Coturnix japonica: one gene and its partner. The protein of the gene in region 1 interacts with the protein of each later gene in a biochemical or structural test. Links are inferred from orthologs where the notes say so. Each region holds a gene or a part of one and is shown on either strand. Other genes may lie near its edges. The genes, in order: PTCH1 and SHH.

Evidence for each region.
Region 2: the proteins of PTCH1 (region 1) and SHH are reported together in a solved structure, tested with the Homo sapiens proteins (5 studies listed by BioGRID and IntAct, with this or other methods). The link is inferred for Coturnix japonica from reciprocal best matches to the Homo sapiens genes PTCH1 and SHH.

What each region holds. Positions count from the first base shown.
Region 1 is NC_029547.1:37,982,450-37,986,268, forward strand, and holds part of PTCH1 (protein patched homolog 1), read right to left. Parts: intron 3,813-3,819; coding exon 3,743-3,812; intron 3,636-3,742; coding exon 3,544-3,635; coding exon of another isoform or gene 3,540-3,543; intron 2,207-3,539; coding exon 2,008-2,206; intron 1,445-2,007; coding exon 1,323-1,444; intron 48-1,322; coding exon 1-47.
Region 2 is NC_029517.1:7,179,935-7,183,746, reverse strand, and holds part of SHH (sonic hedgehog protein), read left to right. Parts: intron 1-2,075; coding exon 2,076-2,337; intron 2,338-3,812.

The DNA of each region.
Region 1 (3,819 bases):
TTTGCTTAGGAGTCATTAACTGAAACATCGTTTGCAGCGCCTGGGCACTGTAACAGAGAAAAAGAAGAAAAGGAGGAGGCATAAAATAATCTCATGGCATGAAATCCCAAATGAGAGCCTAACAGCAGTTTGTAGGAGCTCTTGATTTTATAAAGCACATACTCACATTAAAATTGAATAGAGTATAATTATGCTAACTACGTATCTGGTGCAGCTGCATGGCTCTTTCAAGTACTGAGATTAAAACTTAGTTTCACTGAAGTTTATTTAGCCATTATTTTTGATAGGATCACTTTGGGTGCAAAGAATAAAACACTACTAATCAATTATAAGGATCATGATTAACAGATGACTATTACTGTGAAGATGACATAAAAATAGTTATTTCTATAAGATCTTTTAAATGCCATTGAAAATTTGTCATTTGAAAACCTTGGCATTCATTAACCATTCAAGAGAAATGCCATATTTAATTCCTGTTGCCTGGCAGACTGGGAGGACTACACAAGGACAACAATTATCCAGTGTGACTTTCCACAGTATTCAAATGCATCCAACAATTTCAGAAGCTTAACAACTACTTTATTTTCACTAAAACATATCCTTTGGCTTAATTGTTGAAAGATTTACTGCAATAAATAATTCTTCAGTATTTGGTGGAAATGTAAAAAAAAAAAAAAAAGTTCATAATCAATATTAAGACTTCCAGTAAAAAACACCTCTATTAAATATGTGATAACTGTGCTTCATTTAGCTTACTATGTCCTATATTTTTCAGAATAGTTCTCTCTCACAGGCTTCTCCCTCAGTGAAGTCCTGACTTCTTTAAAGAAAGTCTAAAAAAGTGTTTTATCGGACAAAAATACATTCAAGATGTAATAACATAAATAATATACTTTTCTCCATATTGATTCTAAACAAAAAGTTACTTTGAATTTTGAGAAAAGCCAAGTGAGTACTTTACCTGTATTTTTCCCCCTTTTTTGTCTGACAGTATTTCAAAAAATGCTCAGAGCTGTTTGGTGTTTCAAACACTGTTCAATGTTTTATACATACACACCAAACAACAAAGATGTCAGAAAAAAAAAATAAAAAATCTATTTCTAAGAAATGTACATTATCATTCGGAGGTTAGAAGCAGGAAGCAGTGATGTCAATTAAACAATTATCTAATCATTGTTTTAAATTCTGCTTTCTTGAGGCATGCATGTCCTCCTAAAAGGGTTCATAATACACATGAAGGATAAATACACATGTACCCTAAAAACGAAATTCTAACAGGGAAAAACTTTAGAATTTTCTTTAAACATTTATTTCTTTACCTGACAAGTTTACCAGAACTGTTCTTGACTGTACCACCTATAATTAACTCTTCCTGCCAATGCATGTATTTTCTTGACAGTCCATAGCATCCACCACTCAATATAAGGGCTACATCAAGAGGCTGGAAAATGTTATAAAGAAGAAATTGATCAGTTGCATAACTTCAGACAAAACTGCATGGAAGTTGATTTATGGTACAGTAAAAAAACTGATATTCAAGATTGTTTAAGAGGTCTAAAAAGAGAAATTATGCTCAACTACTCAAGTGGACAAATCAGTCAGGTATTAACTGAACAAACAGCAACTTTCCCAAAGCCTGACTGAAAGACAGATGTATAAAACTGGGCACCACTAATTTAGATTATTCACAAAGTAAACAAAATTGGCCCTACCTGAAGGAAGGAAGGCTTTGCTATCTGGTATGAGCATACAGAGTAGATGCATTTCAGCAGTGGTTCTCTCTGAGGAATTAAGTCTTTTGAAATGCTACACTGCCACTTTGCCATCCTTGGCCAGCAGTACTGTACTCTGACTCTAAATATGGGGGATTAACTATTGCATCACAGAATGACAGAAAGTTATCAGCTGTTTCAGCAGCAGTCAATTAGACCTACATACTGCTTCTTCTCTCCTCCCTGCCTCTAGCTTCCCCAATATAAGATACAAACAAGCACAAGAACTTACTTTGGTAGAATTTTTATTGGGAGCTGTGATTGGGCAATCAGGATCAGCAGGATTCAGGCAAGGTCGATCCATATAACCATGACCAACCTCTGCTTTATTCAGCATTTCTTCCCAGCTCTCCACTTGGTAGTTTATTTTCTTTAACTCTTCCAAGAATTCTAAGGGGTCAAAGTTGATCCACTGCAAAGGAGGCTTCCCTCTGCAAAATAAATCAGGGTTTTTTTTGTTTTTTTTAATTATGTTTGTTTTCTAAGTTATTACATTTGCTGATAAGATTGTTTCATACAGGATATGAAATGTGGCATATTTTAATTTTATTTGTTTATGTACCTTTTTTGTAGCCTTAGTGCCATTTAAAAATAAATATTTGGGTTTTACAAAGTTATTGCAAAAAATACAATATATTCACAAGTAAAAAGCACTTCTATTTACAAGCAAAAGTAAAGAAATTATTAAGCACCTAAATAATAAAAAAGCAGCCAATTGCTGCTGGACAGAATTAGGGGAAAGGAAGAAGGAAAGAAAAGAAGGGGCTGAAGAAAGAAAGCCTTTCTCATAGTATCAGATTACTTCTTGCTACTCTAATAACCATCTTGCAGATGTAATCAATCAATACAGATGATCTTTGGTTATACTATGCTTCTTCAAATGCCCTGACAGCTTGACTATTGGCTAGCAAGCTCTCTTGCTATCACGGCTACCATTACTATCACTGTCGTATTTCCCACCCCAACTTGTGAATTTTTGATGTTGACAGACTAGAATGGATTTTGGCTGCCTTATTCTGTGGTTCAAACCACACTGTATCTGCCTAACCAGGCTTAAGTCACTATTCCAGTTCTCCCAACCAGAAATCACAAGCCCTGTATGTTTCCCATCTAGAAATGTACACTAAAGGTTATGAGATAGCCATTGCAAATTGCTTTTACAGAGACAGAAACAAGAGCAAACCAGAGCAGAAACAATTAACTCTTGCATAATTAACAGAAAATGCCCACACATATCAACAATTAATTGCTTGAATGATTTAGGGCATATAATATCACATTTATAAATTGTGAGAAACCACCCATAAAAGATACTATGTATGGTTTCTTCGATGAACTCATAAGTAAAGGATTTGGATTTTTTGTTTCTTAGAAGATCTGAGATTTAACCCCAGAAATTTTCTTAGAAATAAAATTTCCAATTAATCAATGCTATTTGTAAACTAAGAAAAAAAAGAGACAAGTTTATTTCCAAAAGAAGCGTAAAGCCCTTAAAGCTTAGACTGAGAACTTATAGCTTTAAGGGCTTGCTAGCAGAGTGAGAAAAATACTACAGAAACCAAATTGATGCCTACAATTCATCTTGCAGAAACAAAAATATGTGTTCAGTTAAAAAAAAAAGTCTATGCAGACTTCCAGTAGAGACGCCATAATTTTATTTTACTGTTAAACCAGAATGTCAATGGATAGTCAGAATGCAATGCAAAATCATACATAGTTATAGAATTAAAATTAATCAGACTAGAAAGATAAATAATTGCATGCTTACAATAGATAGGCAGTTCCTGACTGTAGCTTTGCTCCCTCCCAGAAGCAGTCCAAAGGAGTGATAATTAAGCAAGGATAAAGATATTCTATAATCTGTCAAAATGAGAAGTGGCAAAAATTAGGCTAGAACATAATCTAAGCAGCATAAGTTCAATTATGATTATAGAAAAAGTTTCCAAGTAAATGACTGCTATGCATACCTGATCCATGTAACCTGCTTCTGTGATGAGTTCCCCTGATTTATAACATAAATGTTCCAACTTCCACTGTCTGTAAT
Region 2 (3,812 bases), on another chromosome or scaffold:
AGCACGATAAAGCTGGAATTTGTATGGAATAAAATAGCCATCTCGCCTAACGCGGGCACACGGCGGTGCGCGATGGGAGGAACTCAGAGATCAGCTTGGCATTTAGGAAGCCCACCAGGTTGTTTACACTGACAGGTACCTGTTAAGTGTTTCCTTCAAGCAATTCATTTGTGAAGAGATTAGGAGCTGGCAGGAGAGGGCTTGTTGAACAACTTCGCCTCCACACAAAGCGTCGGCGGAGGCAGCCCTGCTGAGCTTCACGGTGGCTGAACAGAATTGGGCTTGATTTGTGGCACACGACCCGATGAATTAATAAATAGTCTGGGCTTCACGGCTTTTGACTCCGACAATCCAGCTCAGGCGGAGTGAAAGGGAGGAAAGTCCTTTAGGAGGCCGTTCCCTTGCTCGATTCACGGCTCCTTGCGTTCTCTGAGCCAGAGGCCGGGAGGGACACCCACCACTGGGGCTGCTATCATGATATGTTACTATCATGATATCCTCGTGTTGTGATATCCTTCTATCGTGACATCCTGGTATTGCGATATCCTGCTACTGTGAGATCCTGCTACCCTGATCTTATAAATACCCGGACGTCCTGCCACCCCCATACCTTGCTCGTACCCGTTTAGCTCTGCAGGAGCACATCCATCCTCTCAGGTGTGCAAAGGGGGGAAGTAAAAATATGCCCTCTGCTTCCTCGTGCTCTGCTGTAGGGAATGGGCTGAAAGCAGCTTCCTTGGCTCTTTGCACTGAGTGCTAGGCCACAGAGTCCAAAGTGAGCTCGTGATTGTGTTTGATATCTCTCGGGGCCGTGTGTGTTGCTGGAATTGCTTTTTATGGCTGTGATAGACACATGGGAAGTTTCACATTGAACAGTCTTGTCATGTCCCTTAGAGTGGGGCTGGAAAAGGGATGGCCATGCTGGGCCCTGCTAAGAGCTGTGAAGGGGCCTTTGTGGGACAGGGCGTCCCACTTGGGGATGTATGTGAGGGAGAGCTCCTGCCTCTTGCTGTGACTTTACCCCATGTGCGTTCATGCTGTTTGTAGTCATGAGTTATTTCTCTCTGAAAAAGGAGGAAAAAGTTGGCCATGTGTGGTTTTTCTAGCTGTGTGCCTTTCAGTCAAATGCTTTCAGTGCTTATTTCTTATGTCTGAGGGCAGCTGCAAGTCCTTCTCCTTGTAGAGCTGGTCATTCCACCTCCTTGACCCACACACTAATCCTCTACACTTTCAGGGCTCTGTATAGAGCTCACCCCTGAATCTGCCCACTGTGAGGCTCTAGGTGAGCCCAGTAGCTCCAGAGAGGGGGCTGAAGGAAAACCCTATAGCATTTTCCTATGGGGCCTAAAGCTTCTCACTGCACACAAAGGCCACTCAGCATCCCTGTAACTCCTCTGCTTGGCCCTCTCTTGCTTTCCATCTTCCTTTTCTGAGCCATGTTATCATATGTCTATGCCAAAAGCAGAGCAAATGCTCCCAGCCCACGCTGCTTTGAGGACTCTAATGAGTGATGGGTGAGAAATAATAATTAAAAACAAAACAAAACACACAAAAAAAACCCAACAACAACAACAAAAAACAGCAGCACATAAAGTCTGTTAACGTGTACTGAGACCCCTTTCAACACAGAATTAAGCTGAAAAGACCCGGGGAGACATTCCGGGGAGAATCCCTGACTCTCAGATATATGGCGAGTGTTTATTCTCGGCAGAACTTTGTTCTCGGCAAAGGGACAGGGCACTTAGTGCAGGAATGCGGGGCTTTTAGACCGCGCACTCAGGCTGTGGGGCAGGTGCTGGAGAGGGAGCGGCGTTGCGGTGTTTCATCCCTTCTTCCTCCCTTTGGCTGGGGAGGGGGGTAGGATGCGACCCTGGAGGTGCGGGGAGGCTGGGGGGGGGGGCATCTGATCCCGGTGACAGCAGTGNGGTGTTTCATCCCTTCTTCCTCCCTTTGGCTGGGGGGGGGGGTAGGATGCGACGGGGGGGGGGGGGGGGGGGGGGGGGGGGGGGCATCTGATCCCGGTGACAGCAGTGTCCCCTCAATGTGCCTTTCCCTGTGTCCCCATGTCCCCGCAGCGCTGCAAGGACAAGTTGAACTCCCTGGCCATCTCTGTGATGAACCAGTGGCCGGGGGTGAAGCTGCGGGTGACCGAGGGCTGGGACGAGGACGGCCACCACTCCGAGGAATCGCTGCACTACGAGGGTCGCGCTGTGGACATCACCACGTCGGATCGGGACCGTAGCAAGTACGGGATGCTGGCCCGCCTGGCCGTCGAGGCCGGCTTCGACTGGGTCTACTATGAGTCCAAGGCGCACATCCACTGCTCAGTCAAAGCAGGTGAGGCGGGGAGGGTGGACGCGGTGGGGACACCCCCGGGCTCTGTGCTCCAATTCCCCGTCCCATCAGCTCTGCCCGCCCCGTCGGGGTGCGGAACCGAGCGCCCGCCTCTGAGGCACACGTGGGGGAGGCGGTGGGGGGAGAGGGGCAGTGAAGGAGATAGGGGAGATGCAAGAAAGAAAGAAAGAAAAAAATGCAAGGAAGGAAGGAAGGAAGGAAGAAGCCCAGCCAGCTGCAGCACCTCCTGCCAGCGTTAATTTCTCTGTCAGTTTGCCCAGCCTTCCCACCACCGCCACACGCCCTTCTTCTCCCTCCGTGGGATCTAAGCTCTCCCCATCCGAAGCGATCGCTCATCTTGGGGCTGGAGGGGACCGGGAAATGAGCACCGAGCGAGGCCCCTCCGCCGGGAGCCGACGGGAAACTCCCAGCGCCCGATAAGCGCGCATCTCCTTCTGCCTCCCCTCCCTGTGCTTACAACGCCACACGCTGTCTCAACCCGGGAACAGCTCGCGAGAAACCCCGAGCTGCGTTTGGCTCTTCTAAAACAAAATTATCGTCGTTTTGCTGATTTTAAGCGAACCCCTTTGGCGTGTGCCAGTCGCCGGGCCCGCCTCCCTGTGCTGTACGGCAGTGTTGTGAGAGCATCCTCCAGCCTGGAGAGAGCTGCAAGTGTCAAGAAACACTTGGCTGCAAAAGAAAATAATGGGCTTTCTCTAAAAATATCGATTTACTTTGAAACAGCAAGTAAACAGCATTGGCTTCAACATGCCAAGCTGTAACTGGGTCCCAGTCCACACTGGGACTTCTCCAGCCCAGGGCTTTGTCCTGGGAGCCTGACATTGCTTTTGTTCATCTCCCCCAGCCCTTCGGAGGCTCCACAAAGCTGCTGGTCTCACAGCGATATGAAACGTCCCTTTCAATAGCGAGGATGGGCTTTATGGCTCAAGGTGTCTGATTGTGGCGCACAATAACCTTATTCCGAGCACCCACCCTAATCCACCTCCATGTATATTTCATAGGAGAGGAGCAACCCCCGAGCTGCTCATTGAGATTCCGCACACGCGGACTTTGGGGTGACATTTAGTGCGTGTCAGGCGGGGTCGTGTGACTGTACCACGAGGGTTGCAAGGGAATGGGCTTGAATTCCACCCGCTCGGTCTGGTTTCAAACTGTGGAAACCTCGTTTCATGATGGAGCATCTTATGAGAAGATTAAACCCCATAATGGCAGGCAGGAAGATTCTTTATCTAGATCTCTGTTTGCAAAAAGTATGATCCCAGAGACTGGAATGCAAAGAAGAGTTCCCCCAAGGCCTGAATTATTGTCACTGGGACAGGGGAGGGAGAGGCAGGGGTGGTAAAAGGGACATTGATAATGCGCTGCGGCAAGTATTTAGAGCGAGCTTCTGCATTTAAAATTCAAATACACATCTTGAGTGCCTTGGAAAAGTGGCTCTGCTGTGCAAATAGTGCTTG